Macaca fascicularis: one gene and its partner. The protein of the gene in region 2 interacts with the protein of the main gene of each other region in a biochemical or structural test. Links are inferred from orthologs where the notes say so. Each region holds a gene or a part of one and is shown on either strand. Other genes may lie near its edges.

The links.
Region 1: of the proteins of LIMK2 (region 2) and ROCK1, one has a biochemical effect on the other in vitro, tested with the Homo sapiens proteins (2 studies listed by BioGRID). The link is inferred for Macaca fascicularis from reciprocal best matches to the Homo sapiens genes LIMK2 and ROCK1.

The regions. Positions count from the first base shown.
Region 1 is NC_088392.1:68,802,198-68,810,201, reverse strand, and holds part of ROCK1 (rho-associated protein kinase 1), read right to left. Parts: intron 5,092-8,004; coding exon 5,013-5,091; intron 4,891-5,012; coding exon 4,629-4,890; intron 3,319-4,628; coding exon 3,111-3,318; intron 552-3,110; coding exon 548-551; 3' UTR 1-547. UniProt on the Homo sapiens protein: Protein kinase which is a key regulator of the actin cytoskeleton and cell polarity.
Region 2 is NC_088384.1:20,382,095-20,390,098, reverse strand, and holds part of LIMK2 (LIM domain kinase 2), read left to right. Parts: intron 1-4,294; coding exon 4,295-4,430; intron 4,431-5,461; coding exon 5,462-5,571; intron 5,572-6,223; coding exon 6,224-6,412; intron 6,413-8,004. UniProt on the Homo sapiens protein: Serine/threonine-protein kinase that plays an essential role in the regulation of actin filament dynamics. Acts downstream of several Rho family GTPase signal transduction pathways.

The DNA.
Region 1 (8,004 bases), on a different chromosome or scaffold from region 2:
AGGGCACTGAAGTTCAAGTGATATCACTGCTTTCTTAAAATAGTTTTGTATAGTCTTGCAAGAGCACAAAAACTTAAGTCATTTAAAAAAACAAACAAACAAAAAAAACTTCAGTTTGTCTCATTTTGAGATATTTTCTTTACTCCTTCCATGAGCTGATCTTGATAGTGATGGCCGTTCCACATGAAAGTGAAAGTCCCTTCCTCTTACTCATATGAGGAAAACTCTGTTCTATCACGACTGACAGGCATTTTCTTATAAATCCAAAAAGGCAGCACCTTTTAAAAAAAATACATCTACCTAAGCTTTCCCCCAATTGTACTTGCATTACATAGTAATAATTAATCTAATCTACCTGTAGGCAAACCCGCAATAAAAAAAAACCCCTCAGTGTGTTGTGCCAAAGCAAGGACAGAATAACAGCAATCTTAACCCTGAAGCCTGTGATATTTGTGTCAAAGAAACAGCCTGTCTGCTCTGCATGGTTAAAGAAGCCTGGTTTATCAGGTAGCATCCACACGACTCCACAAGGCACTCGGTCACATGGTTAACTGTTGAGGAGGGGGAAAAAAAACTAATTTAAGAAATGCACTCTGTTTAAGAATACAAGAAACAAACATTAGGAGGAAAGGTAAATATACATTATCTTTACATACAATTAACAATTACACAAAATTTGAGAAACAAGGAATAGGAAAAATATACTTAGTATTCTCTCCTCTTTGTTTCTGCACATTTTCTTACTCAGCTATAATCCCATTTCAAATCACTTTAGATCCAGTTTACACCCTATGTTCAGGAGAAGGCTGACATAGCATTCTACAGAATTAAGTTAGCAGTGATGTGGTAATACCTGGCATAGTGTGGTGGCTGAGAAGGAAAGGATATAAGTCATTTCAAAGAATTAGGCCTGGTTACTGACAACAGGGAATGAACAAAAGAGATGAATTCAAGATGGCTTTAAGCCTGCTTGGAAGATGTGGGTGACACTGGCAGCGAGGCCAATCAGTGTTAGGTCTCAGCTTCTAGATTCAAATGGCCCTATTAATCTAGGGAGTACACTCTAGGGAAGCTGGTATGTGGTAGAATAGAGGCTTTGGAATTGGACAACATAGGCTTTAGAATTGGACAGAAATGGCCTCCAATCCATTGGCTCTGTGATTGAGCAAACTGCTTAATTTCTCTGAGCCTTATTTACTAATGAGTAAAATGAGAACTTAATGAGATGAGATTTCATAATTTCTCTCCAAGAAAGAGTTAATTGCCGGGTGTGGTGGCTCATGCCTGTAATCCCAGCACTTTGGGAGGCCCAGGAGGGTGCATCACCTGAGGTCATGAGTTCAAGACCAGCCTGGCCAACATGGTGAAACCCCATCTCTACTGAAAATACAAAAATTAGCAGGGTGTGGTGGTGTGTACCTGTAATCCCAGCTACTCAAGAGGCTGAGGTGGGAGAACAGCTTGAACCCAGGAGGCAGAGGTTACAGTGAGCTGAGATTGTGCCACTGCACTCTGGCCTGGGCAACAGAGCGAGACTCTGTCTCAAAATGAATGAATGAATGAATGAATGAATGAATGAATGAATGAATGGTTATGCCTTATAATTGTTTATCATGGCATAAAAGATATTTTTGGAAAAAAGTCCATCAAAAATATTTAAACAGCCAGGCGTGATGGCTCATGCCTGTAATCCCAGCACTTTGGAAGGCTGGGGCAGGCAGATCACTTGAGGTCAGGAGTTTGAGACCAGCCTGGCCAACATGATGAAACCCTCTCTCTACTAAAATGACAAAAATTAGCCAGGCATGGTGGCATCCATCTGTAATCCCCGCTACTTGGGAGGCTGAGGTCGGAGAATTGCTTGAACCTGGGAGGTGGAGGTTGCAGTGAGCTGAGACAGTGCCGCCACTGCACTCCAGCCTGGGTGACAGAGTGAGACTCTGTCTTAAAAAACAAAAAAAAGTTAAACAACAAAAGAAGTAGGACTTAACTGGGAAGTTTGTTTGTAATAACATAGTTACTGATATGCAGCCATAAAAAAGGATAAGTTCGGCTGGGCATGGTGGCTCACACCTATAATCCCAGCACATTGGGAGGCAGAGGCAGGTGGATCATGAGATCAGGAGTTCGAGACAAGCCTGGCCAACATAATGAAACCCCATCTCTACTAAAAATACAAAAATTAGCCAGTCATGGTGGCATGCACCTGTAGTCCCAGCTACTCAGGAGGCTGAGGTTGTGGTAAGCCGAGATCACGCCACTGCACTCCAGCCTGGGCAACAAAGCAAGACTCTGCCTCAAAAAAAAAAAAAAAGGGGGCGGGGGTGGCGAGGGGATAGGTTCATGTCCTTTGCAGGAACATGGATGAAGCTGGAAACCATCATTCTCAGCAAACTAACACAGGAACAGAAAACCAAACACCACAGGTTCTCACTCATAAGTGGGAGTTGAACAATGAGAAAACATGGAGACAGGGAGGGGAACATCACACACCAGGGCCTGTCGGGGGGTCGGGGGACTAGGGGAGGGATAGCATTAGGAGAAATACCTAATGTAGATGATGGGTTGATGGGTGCAACAAACCACCATGGCACATGTATACCTATGTAACAAACCTGCAGGTTCTGCACATATATCCCAGAACTTAAAGTACAATAATTAAAAAAAATAGTCACTGATAATACCAAATAATTTTGTATGTTGCGATAGTATGGGAAGTTAACAAAGAAGGGAAAAACAATCTTGGTTTTTGTAGAAAAACTATGCCAACACAGTTAAAAAACAGAAAAGATGATTAAAAGTTTTATATGAATTTCTGCATTAAAAAAATTCACAAGTTGGTTAAAGCATTAAGGGCTAAAACTATGCCATGTACAGCAACTTATGACAATAAAATTAGACACAGAACTAAATAAATATAATATTGCATGTATTATTATTTTTAAATTCTAACAAGAATAAGTCAAACTAATTTATAAAGTCACTGCAAGTCATATACAAAGACCTAAAAATGATGCCCTCTGTGGTGAAAAGAATTAGATTTCTGATTTTAATAGATGTTAGCCAATCATTTTCACATTGTTAAAAAGGTTAGCATTTCAAATCCTTACCTAGTTTTTCCAGATGTATTTTTGACCACTTTCCGGAAAGACTGATTTGCAGTGGATCTTGTAGAAAGTGTTCGAGGGGAGGCACGAACAAAACCAGATGGTGGATTCTTAGGGATTTTCTTTACTAAATGAGTTACCCATTTTTTTTGTTCATCCTGAGAACATGCTAACAGCAGCATATCTCTTGCTGATGTTACGTCATAACTTACTATGTTAAGGAGGAAAAAAAAGCATAATTAAAGTCATATCTTTTTTTAAATCCAACCTATCAAATGCATAGTTTTTCAAGTTCTTAAGATTTTAAAAGTTTTAATATACTTAATTAAGCATGAACAATATCTCATTCTCCTTAAGTTAAATAAGGATAAAATTTAAAAATAAATTAGTCAAACTAATAAAGTAAAATCAGAAACATAAAAAAAAAGTAAAACAAATAAATGTTTAAAGAACATACGTTTCTTATCTGAAAATAGCTATGGTCTGTATTCTTTCCCTCAAGCTACCTCTGCTAAACTAGAAAATATTCTGTCTATGATACAGCATGCATGCTGATCCAGGCAGTGAATGCCAGACAAAAAGAAGAGGAAAAACTAAAGGGCGGAATAGAGTAGAACTCACCTGTTGCTCTCCTCTCCAACTTGGAGTAATTTCTTAGTGGCATGTTTGGTTTTTTTGTTTGTTTACAAGGGGGTGATTCTCTTTAAAAACACTGTTGGCCGGGTGTGCAATGGCTCACACCTGTCATCCCAGCACTTTGGGGAGGCCAAAGCAGGTGGATCACCTGAGGTCAGGAGTTCGAGACCAGCTTGGGCAAAATGGTGAAACTCCATCGCTACTAAAAATGCAAAATTAGCTAGGTGTGGTGGCACATGCCTATAGTCCCAGCTACTCAGGAGGCTGAGATAGGAGAATCCCTTGAACCTGGGAGGCAGAGGCTGCAGTGAGCTAAGATCACGCCATTGCACTCCAGCCTGGGCGAGACAGAGTGAGACTCTATCTCAATCAATCAACAAAAATAAATAAAAACATTCTTTTTTTTTTTTTTTTTTTTTTTTTGAGACAGAGTCTCCCTCTGCCGCCCAGGCTGGAGTGCAGTGGCGTGATCTTGGCTCACTGCAAGCTCCGCCTCCCGGGTTCACGCCATTCTCCTGCCTCAGCCTCCCGAGTAGCTGGGACTACAGGCGCCCGCCACCTCGCCCGGCTAGTTTTTTTGTATTTTTTAGTAGAGACGGGGTTTCACTGTGTCAGCCAGGATGGTCTCGATCTCCTGACCTCGTGATCCACCCGTCTCGGCCTCCCAAAGTGCTGGGATTACAGGCTTGAGCCACCGCGCCCAGCCAATAAAAACATTCTTAAAAGCTAAATCTGTAAGTAGCTGCACATTGCTCCACCAGTGTCAAAATATTACTTTTTATAATCTCTTTTCAACTTGGTATAGAAATTAATACACATAAGTTATTTCATTGAGACTGAAAACTAAATTTATTATAAGTTGTAACAATAATTGCCATACCTTACCTTTACATGGGCAAATTAAGTCCTCTTTCTTATCTAAGTGATCTCTGTGGCACTTAACATGGCATCTTCGACACTCTAGGGCAGGGGGTGGCTTAAAAACATGCCAGAGAGGTTTGGCACAGGCATCACAATTGGCAGGAAAGTGGTAGAGTGTAGGAATAAACTCATGGCCTTTGTGATTTTGGAAATTAGTTTTTTCAGCTTGTTGTACTGGTTCCATCTCTACATCTTTTCTACATTCACCTTCATTTGCATATAGTATCTACATTCAGGAATGGTGAAAGGAAAAGATTTTTAAAATCTTAAGCATTGGTAAATTTTACATTTACTTCACAAAAACACTTAGGACTTAGATTCTTTAAAATTATAACTTCAGATTTTTACCTGGAATATTTTAGGAATTTCTTCAGTTTCAGCTCTATACACATCTCCTTGGGTTACAGGTCTAACGTGAAACAGTTTACTAAAATGAAAATAAATATAGGCCATTTACAAAAACTCATTTATTGTAAAAGACATTTCATTAAAGAGGACATACAGGTGGTAAATAAGCACATAAAAAGATATTCAACATCATCAGTTATTAGACAAATGCAAACTAAAACCACAATTAGTGTCACTACACATCTATCAGAGTTAAAAAAATATAAAAATAGTAATAACACCAAATGCTGGTGAGAATGCGGAGAAAGTAAATCACTCATATACTGCTGATGGAACGTAAAATTACAGAGCCACTCTGGAAAAGAATATGGCGATTTCTTAGAAAACTAAACATATGCTTACCATATAACCCAGCAAATTGCACTGTTAGGCCTTTAATTCCAAGAAACAAAAATTTATTAAAAATTTTATATCTATTTAAAAAAACCTCCACATAGATGTTCACAGGAGCTTTATTCATAATAACCAAAACCTAGAAACAACCCAAATAAATGGGTACGCAAACTGAGATACATCTACACTATGGAATACTACTCTGTAAGAAAAAAACAAATCATACGTGGATTGATCTTAAGGGAATTATACTGAATGGGAAAAAAGCTGATCATAAAAGATTACACATTATTTGATTCCATTCATATAACACCCTTGAAGAGACAAAATTATGGAGATGGAGAATAGATTAGTGTTGCTATGGATTAGGGAGAGGTGGAGGAAGGAAGCTGCCTTTTGGCTACAAAAGGAGTAGCACAGGGATGCTTGTGATGGAATTGTTCTGTATTTTGAGTGTGGTGGTGGCCATATGAATCTATACATGTGAGAAAGGCATACAGATTGGAAAGAAAGAAGTGAAACTCATTATTTGGTGATGACATGATTGTATGCAGTTGTCTCGTGGTATCCGTGGCAGATTGGTCCCAGGACCCTGGAGGATACCAAAATCCTCTGGGGATTTTGAAGAGAGAAAGAGAAAGACAGAGAAGGTGAGGGAAGGAGGGAGGGACGAGACAGGAAAAGAAAGAAAAGATAAAAAAATGGTGTAGTATTTGTATATAACCTAAGTACACCCTCCTGTATATTTAAACTTGTCTCTAGATATAATACCTAATACGATGTAAGTGCTATGGAAATTGTTACACTATATTGTTTAGAGAATAATGACAAGAAAACAAATCTGTACATATTAAGTACAGACACAACCATAGTAGGCCTAACTACATTTTTAATCCATAGTTGGATGAATATACAGATGCAGAACCCACAGATACAGAGGAATGACTATGTGTAGAAAAGCCCTGTGGAATTGACCCCAAAACCCCACAACCCTATAAAACTGTTAAGTGCAAAGCAAGATTAAATGATTCAAGGTCAATATATAAAAACAAATACTGTTGGAACAACCAGATACCTATGTGGGGGAAAAAAAGCCAACCTGACCTAAACAACTACCTCTTACCAAACACGGACCACAAGAGGCAGAAAACATTTTAAAAATTGGTACACTGATCCTCATTAAAAGACACCATTAAGAAAATCAACAGGCAAGCAACAGATTGGGAAATATTTGCATTACATATTTCTAACATAGGATTTTTATTCAGAATACATATAGAACTCTTAAAAACCAATCTTGCCGGGCGCGGTGGCTCAAGCCTGTAATCCCAGCACTTTGGGAGGCCGAGGCGGGCGGATCACAAGGTCAGGAGATCGAGACCACAGTGAAACCCCGTCTCTACTAAAAATACAAAAAAAATTAGCCGGGCGCGGTGGCGGGCGCCTGTAGTCCCAGCTACTCAGGAGGCTGAGGCAGGAGAATGGCGGGAACCCGGGAGGTGGAGCTTGCAGTGAGCCGAGATCGCGCCACTGCACTCCAGCCTGGGCAACAGCGTGAGACTCCGTCTCAAAAAAAAAAAAAAAAAAACCAATCTTAAAAACATAAGCAACCGAATTTAAAAATGGGCAAAAGACTTGAAAAAACTTAAGAAAAGATACACAATGGCTAACAATGACATGAAAGATTCTTGCTATTATTAGTTATGAGGAGAATGCAAATTAAAATAACAATGAGATAGCATTTAGCATCCACTAGAAAAGCTAACACAGATCTATTTTATAATCCAGGATTCCACTCCTAGGTATTTACCCATGAGAAATGAAAACATAAGTTTAAAAAAAGGAATGCTCCTAAGTCTTACTCACGATAGCCCCAAATTGGAAGCAACCCAAATGTCAATCAACACAAAAATGGATAAACAAATTCATACAATGCTATACTATTCAGCAATACAAAGAACAATCAATACATACAACACCACAGGTGCAGGATGAGTGAAAGATGCTAGGCACAAAAGTGTACTGTTTAATTCCATTTATATGAAGTCCTAGAACAGGCAAAACTAATCTTGGCAATAGAAATCAGATCATGGGAAGAGGCACAAGTGAGCTTTCTTCTTTTTTCTTTTTTTTTTTTTTTGTGAGATGGAGTCTCGCTCTGTCACCCGGGCTGGAGTGCAGTGGCACAATCTTGGCTCACCGCAACCTCTGCCTCCTGGGTTCAAGCGATTCTCCTGCCTCAGCCTCCCAAGTAGCTGGGATTACAGGCATCTGCCACCATGCCCAGCTAATCTTTTGTATTTTTAGTAGAGACAGGGTTTCACCATGTTGGCCAGACTGGTCTCGAATCAACTCCTGACCTCGTGATCCTCCCATCTCGGCCTCCCAAAGTACTGGGATTATAGGCATGAGCCACTGCACCCGGCCCAAGTGAGCTTTCTTTATAAATTAAAAAATATATATCTATATTCTTTTTTCAGAGACAGGGTCTTGCTATGTCGCCCAGGCTGGTCTCGAATTGAACTCAGGGCAACCGCCCAGCTCGGTCTCCCAAAGTGCTGGGGTTAGAGGCATAAGCCACTGTGCCCAGCCACAAGTG
Region 2 (8,004 bases):
CAGGCCTGCATTTGGGTGCAAATATGTCTGCACACAGAAGAAAAAAAGGACCTGGTGGCCATGAGCCATGGAACCCTTGTGCTCCCCCACCTGGGCTACTGGTTCTTGCCACTCCTGCCATTTTTGGTTTGGAAACATTTGTTAAAGCTTTGCTCTTCCAGGTCCTTTGCTTGGTGCTGAGTCCAACAAGAGTAAGTGGGATGCTGTTTTTATCCTCAGGGAACTAACAATCTAGTGAAGAAGAAAGCTGGTTGCCCCGGAACTTCTAAGTCAGAAGACGGGAGGCAAGAAGGAAGCCCCTGCTCCTACTGCCAGCCCTCTGTTGGGCACCCCATAGTTCTTCAGAACCACATTTAATCCTTGCTGCAGGCCAGGCACAGTGGCTCACGCCTGTAATCCCAACACTTTGGGAGGCCAAGGCGGGCGGGGGCGGATCACTTGAGGTCAGGAGTTCGAGACCAGCCTCTCCAACACAGGGAAACCCCATCTCTACTAAAAATAGAAAAATTAGCTGGGTGTGGTGGCCTGCGCCAGTAATCCCAGCTACTCAGGAGGCTGAGGCAGGAAAATCACTTGAACTCGGGAGGCAGAGGTTGCAGTGAGCCGAGATCGAGCCACTGCACTCCAGCCTGGGTGATAACAGCAAAACTCCATCTCAAAAAAAAAAAGAAAAAATCCTCACTGCTACCTTGAAAGTAGGTGATGACATTGCCATTTCACAAATGAGAAGTGAAGGGGCTAGCCCAAGATCACTTAGGTGGTAAATGGTGGTACTAAGAGTGGAACCTCAGATCATCTAGGGAAAAACACAGATATGCACAGGGTTAAGGGGACCCAGGGTATTATGTGTCCCCTTGTTTCACAGGTGGGGAAACAACCCAGAGAGGGAAAGGGGCTTGTCCAAGGCTATGTTAGCACCCAAGAACTTGAACCCATATCTCTCTCCTCCTCATTTAGAGCTCATCCCACATGTATCTTACATTGAGAGGAGTGTGAGCCACATACCAAGAACAGTCTTCCCCTCTGCCTACATCCTCACTGCGCAGTTTTTAGACACTTCACAGCCATACTCTTCATGCCATACCCAGCCCTCTAGACCCTGAAGTTCCCCTTCCATAAGACAAGTAGGAAAAGCTATAGGGTAAAAATAGCCATCAGTGTTTGTTGAGCACCCAGGGGGGAATTGGCCACTCCAGAAAGATAAAGGAATTCTCAGGGACTTGCTTGTCTAGACTTCCTAGCTCAGCTGCTTCAACTCATTCCTGCCCCTCTTCTCTACCTCCTGCATTGCTCAGAAGTAGTAGAACTCATTGTGTCCTCTCACCTTGCATTGTTGAATTTTATTTAGACTTTCTCTTCCTCAGCTCTTCATAAGCTCACGAAAAGTGAAGTAGGGTGCCCTGTGTATTTATCTTTTATATCTGCAGTGCTTAGCAAGTTATAATAATGCACTTGCCTGGCAAAAGACTTTCTCTCATACATTAGCTTATTTCCTCTTCACATTGGCTCTTTGTAATAATGGGATGCTATTAGTTGTTTTCAATGAGAGAAAGCTACTAAGAGAAGTTGTCCAGCTAGTGACAGGAAGTGGCTGATAATGTGAACTGCCATTACATTGTCATTATCATGTTTAATAAAAGTTAACACATACTGAGTTTCTACTATATTTGGTCTTTTTTTTTTTTTTTTTTTTTTTTTTTTTTTTTTTGAGACGGAGTCTCGCTTTGTTGTCCAGGCTGGAGTGCAGTGGTGCAGTCTCGGATCACCACAACCTCTGCCTCCCAGGTTCAAGCAATTCTCCTGCCTCAGCCTTCTGAGTAGCTGGGACTACAAGCGCAAGCCACCATGACTGGCTAATTTTTGTATTTTCAGTAGAGATAGGATTTCACTATGTTGGCCAGGCTAGTCTCAAAACTCCTGACCTTGTGATCTGCCTGCCTCAGCCTCCCAAAGTGCTGGGATTACAGGTGTGAGCCACCATGCCCAGCCTATATTAGGTCTTTTATATAAGCTATCTCTGTCTATCCATAATTTTTTTTGAGACGGAGTCTGGCTCTGTCACCCAGGCTGGAGTGCAGTAGCATGATCTTGGCTCACTACAACCTCCACCTCCTGGGTTCCAGCGATTCTCCTGCCTCAGCCTCCCGAGAAGCTGGGATTACAGGTTCGTGCCACCACGCCCGGCTAATTTTTTGTATTTTTAGTAGAGACCGGGTTTCACCATATTGGCCAGGCTGGTCTCGAACTCCTGACTTCAAGTGATCCACCTGCCTCGGCCTCCCAAAGTGCTGGGATTACAAGCATGAGCCACTGTGCCCAGCTGCTCTCTATATTTTTAATACATATTATTTCCTTTAATTTTCACAGCAGTTCATTTTATAGATGAGGAAACTAGGCCAGAGAAGTAAGTAAAATATCTTGCCCAAGTTGACGTAACTAGTAAGTGGCAGGATCAAGATTCAACCCAAGCAATGTTGAAACCTCTTGGAAACAACGATATGGCCACTGTGGAAGGTGGAAGGCCTTGACAACGAGAATAGGGAAAAGAAGGAACTAGAAGGAAAGAAATGGCATGGGCTCAGCAGGCCAATGAGCTCTTAGCTGTGTGTGTTGGGAAGCTCAGAAGGAAGGAGGAGGTTGTGCAGGTAAGTCCTGACAACACACCTGACTTTTGAGAGGTGGGATTCATAGCCAGGTGATTAGGGGAGAAGGGAGCTATGGATTTTTTTTTTTTTTTTTTTTAAGAGACGGGGTCTTACTATGTTGCTCAGGCTGGTCTCGAACTCCTGGGCTCAAGTGATCCTCCCATCTTAGCTTCCCAAAGTGCTGGGATTACAGGCATCAGCCACCCCGCCCAGCAAGCTGTGGATCTAACATATACATCTTTTTTTTTTTTTTTTTTTTTTTTTTTTTTTTTTTTTTTTTTGAGACGGAGTCTCGCTCTGTCGCCCAGGCTGGAGTGCAGTGGCCGGATCTCAGCTCACTGCAAGCTCCGCCTCCCGGGTTCACGCCATTCTCCTGCCTCAGCCTCCCGAGTAGCTGGGACTACAGGCGCCGCCACCTCGCCCGGCTAGTTTTTTTTTTGTATTTTTTAGTAGAGATGGGGTTTCACCATGTTATCCAGGACGGTCTCGATCTCCTGACCTCGTGATCCGCCCGTCTCGGCCTCCCTAAGTGCTGGGATTACAGGCTTGAGCCACCGCGCCCGGCCAAACATATACATCTTACACGTTGCTAATAGAATGTTGGGTTTCTTCCCCAATATTTTATTTTGAAAAAAATTTCAAATATGTAAAAAAGTTGAAAATGTAGTTCAAATAACACCTACATACCTTTCACATAGATTCATCATTTGTTAATGTTATGCCACTTTGTGTCTCTCTCTCCCTCTGTCTATATACTTTCATTTATTTATTTTTGCTGAACTATTTCAGAGTAACTTAAATGCATCTTGACTTTTACCCTTAAATAGTTCAATATGTTTCTCCTAAGAATTCTCCTATATAAGTCAAATATCATCACATCTAAGAAAATTCACAGTAATTTTACAATATAATATTATAGTCCAAATCCAGATTTCCTCAGTTCCAAAAAATGTTCATGGCTGTTGCCTTTTTTAATCTAAATTTGAATCCAAGGTGTAGGCATCATATTTGGTTGCTGTGTCTCTAGGCTTTTTTAAATCTGTGCCTTTTCTTCTCCCCATGACTTTTTAGAAGAGTCAAGACCAGTTATCTTATAGAATAACCCACATTCTAGATTTGCCTGATTAGTTTTTTTATACTTAACATATTTTTGGCAAGAACATTACATTGGTAATGCTGTTGGTGATGGGTCAGTTTTGAAGAGTGGAGATGATCAAACTGCTTTTGTTCATTGAAATATCTGTCAAGACCAGAGGTCCTTAACTGGTGCCATAAATAGGTTTCAGAGAATCCTTTATATACACACACACACACCCACCTAAATTATATACACATCTTCCTTATATGTGCATTTTTCTAAGGGAGGCTTCTTGGCTTTTATCAAATTCTCAGAGGGCTCCAAGACCCAAAGAGGTTGTGAAACACTAGTCTGTCCACTGAGGCAGGCAACACAGAGCTGGTTTCTGGGGCCTTATTCACTCTGAACCAGCTTCCCTTGGGGAGATAGCACAAGGCTGTAGCTTTCCCCCATCTTGGCTTTGGATCAAAGAGGACTGTCTATTTTGTTGTCAGACCTAGGAGCCAGGGACAGCCTATGTGGCCCGGTTCCAGGGATCCAGGAGAATTTCAGTTCTTGTCTTGCCTTTCAGGTGTTCAGAATGCCAGGATTCCCTCACCAACTGGTACTACGAGAAAGATGGGAAGCTCTACTGCCCCAAGGACTACTGGGGGAAGTTTGGGGAGTTCTGTCATGGGTGCTCCCTGCTGATGACAGGGCCTTTTATGGTGAGTGAGTCCCTTCATATCTGCCCCTCTTGGTCTTCAGAGTCCATTGACAGTGCTTCCAGTTCAGTCCATTGACAGTGCTTCCAGTTCCCCGTGGCTGTTCATCTTTTGGTCTTTCCATCAGCCAGGGCATCTCCCTTTATTCATTCATTCATTCAACCAGCAGGTATCAGCTGAGCACCTATTAAGTGAAAGGTAAGATCCTTCCCTCAAAGACTTAATAGTTTAGGCCGGGCGCGGTGGCTCACGCCTGTAATCCCAGCACTTTGGGAGGCCGAGACGGGCGGATCACGAGGTCAGGAGATCGAGACCATCCTGGCTAGCACGGTGAAACCCCATCTCTACTAAAAAATACAAAAAAAAAACTAGCCGGGCGAGGTGGCGGCGCCTGTAGTCCCAGCTACTCGGGAGGCTGAGGCAGGAGAATGGCATAAACCTGGGAGGCGGAGCTTGCAGTGAGCTGAGATCCGGCCACTGCACTCCAGCCTGGGCGACAGAGCGAGACTCCGTCTCAAAAAAAAAAAAAAAAAAAAAGTTTAATGTTGGGAGTGGGAGGAGAGGCAGGCAGAGAGGAGACACAGTATAGTTGGATAAGGACCTCAAAGGAGACTGTTATAGGCTGAAAGGAGGATATACCTAGGTTGTGTTCAGGGAATAAGAAAAGGAGACTCTGGAATGGGCTGGCAGAGAGAGGTGCTACCTCTTATACCCACTCTGGACACAGGACTTTAAGCATAGTCACAGACTTGCTAACCCTGTATTGGAGGAACTGTGATCTTTTTTAGTGGGGATGATTACTTCTGGGGACTTGTTCTCATAACTGAAACGAAAACAGTTTTGTGCAGTCTCAGAAATGACAGGAGGTACCAATCTGACACTTTCTTTGGAAGCTCTAGGGCAGAGAGTGAAAGAGTGGATTTTGACTGGGGCCTTGATTGGAGGTCATTCACCTACCCCTGTCCTCACTCCAGCAACAGTGATAACTCACTTCCTTCCTCCCTTTGTGCACCCTTCTCCCCACCTGCTCACAGGTGGCTGGGGAGTTCAAGTACCACCCAGAGTGCTTTGCCTGTATGAGCTGCAAGGTGATCATCGAGGATGGGGATGCATATGCACTGGTGCAGCACGCCACCCTCTACTGGTAAGATGGTAGTCCTTTGTCTATCCTCTCCCATATAAGAGTGGCCTGGGGGAGGGACGGTGGCAGGGTGAGTTGGGCAGAGTGTTAGTGTAGTCAGAGCATTGGATTCCTATCACAGCAGTGCTCTTAACCAGCTCTTTAACTTGTAAGCAGAATGATTTACACATGTCTCTACCCTTTTTTCTTACCTACCTTGAAAATGTCTTCACTCTGCCCTGCAGTCCTCCCAGTGGGAGGCACCTTCAAGGAGGATCCCAGAACATTAAAGTCAAAGACCCCTTAGAGCTCACCCTGTCCAACCACCTTGGTTGATGAAAGAAGTCAGCCTGGAGCTCATGGAATAGAATAGTACAAGGGCAAGGTTCTCATTGTGAGTCAAAGGCAGAGTGAAGAGAACCCAGGCCATCTCACCCCAACCCAGGCCAATGTTCTTCCAAATATACCACTTGCTGCAGATCCAGCTCAGCACCCCCAGTCCCAGCCCACCCTGAGAACCCAGGCTCCTCATTCTGAGCAGCCAGCTAGAATCATGACAAAGAGGGTGGTAGTGAGACTATAGGTACTGTTGCTTAAAGCCACATGGTGCAGTGGTTGCTGGGGGGCTTCTGCATGGGACTCTAGCATCATACTCCCCCCTGTGCCCTCTCCCCAGTGGGAAGTGCCACAATGAGGTGGTGCTGGCACCTATGTTTGAGAGACTCTCCACAGAGTCTGTTCAGGACCAGCTGCCCTACTCTGTCACGCTCATCTCCATGCCAGCGACCACTGAAGGCAGGCGGGGCTTCTCTGTGTCCGTGGAGAGTGCCTGCTCCAACTACGCCACCACTGTGCAAGTGAAAGAGTAAGTATTTTGAGAACCCTTCAGCAGGGGTTCTTGAGCAGAGTCTGTAAATGGGCCTCAGAGGGCTTAGATCTCCAAAGTCTCATGCAGAACTCCCTTTATTCTCATCTCATATCTTTCTCCTGGACCCCACTATGCTGTAACCACACCTGGGCCTTGGCACTTATTGTTCTCTCTGTCCAGGCTACTTCCTACCAGATACTTAAGGCCAGAATCACTCATCTTTCAGGTGTCAGGTTTCAGATCATGTTTGCTCTTTGAAATTATCTGGCTTGATTATGTGTATTAGTTGTTTATCTTCTTTCCCCTCCACTAGAATGTAAATTCCAGAAGGAACTTGCTGTCTTGTTCAGTGCTGCATGCCCAGGGCTTGGAACAGTACCTGGCATATAGTAGGAGTTGGTTGATTATTATTTTGTCAGTTGAGAGAGTGAACGGAGAAAATGTGGTCTATGGCCCAAAAGAAGTTAAGACCCTATCCTAGATTGAGGCCAGAGACCAGATGGAGAAAGAGTCTGTGTCTATCTCATACCAGTAATGTCGTACCTCTGGCTGCTTACCATGTAAATGTTGATTTTGCATCTACCATGTGTTGGACACTAGGCTAGTGCTTGCACAGTAGGTGAAAGATACTAGAGTTTGGGAAGGCAGGAGCAGCTAAAGTCTGTTCTACCACCTCATTAGATGAAGAGGAGAGGGAATTGTGTTCAGGGCAGAGGGAGAAACATTCTCCAAAAGTGGGAGTCTTAATCATGTCTGATGTAGGTTGGGTGTGGCCAAAAAAGGGGCTGTTAAGCATACAGAGGGCCTGGATTATGAAGATCCAGCAGATCCATTGAGAGTTTAAGCAGCAAGCTGTTGTGACCAAGTTAACATTTTAGAAGGATCACTGGTACGGAGGTTGGATTGGAGAGGGGAAAGCCTAGAGGTATACAGACCAGTTAGGAAGCTGTTGTAGGCTGGGCATGGTGGCTCATGCCTGTAATCTCAGGACTTTGGGAGGCTGAGGTGGGAGGATTGCTTGAGGCCAGGAGTTCAAGACCAACCTGGCCAATATAGCAAGACCCCATCTCTATTTTTTAAAATTAAAAGTCCAGATATAAGGCCGGGTGCGGTGGCTCACGCCTGTAATCCCAGCACTTTGGGAGGCTAAGGCGGGCGGATCACAAGGTCAGGAGATCGAGACCACGGTGAAACCCCATCTCTACTAAAAGTACAAAAAAAATTAGCCGGGCGCGGTGGCGGGCGCCTGTAGTCCCAGCTACTCAAGAGGCTGAGGCATGAGAATTGCCTGAGCCTGGGAGGCGGAGGTTGCAGTGAGCCCAGATCATGCCATTGCACTCCAGCCTGGATGACAGAGTAAGACACCATCTCAAAAAAAAATTAAAGTTAAAAAAAAAAAAAGAAGCTATTACAGTGATCCAGGTAAGAGATGTGAATAACTACAATGATGGAAAGAAGGCAGAGTTCTTAGAGATGGGAGTAGGAGAGGGATGAGGGAACTCCAAATGGGGAAGATGATGTCCAAGTTTCTGGCTTAGGCCACAGGGTGGGTGGCAATTCCCTTCACTGAGATGGGGCATCCTAGAAAA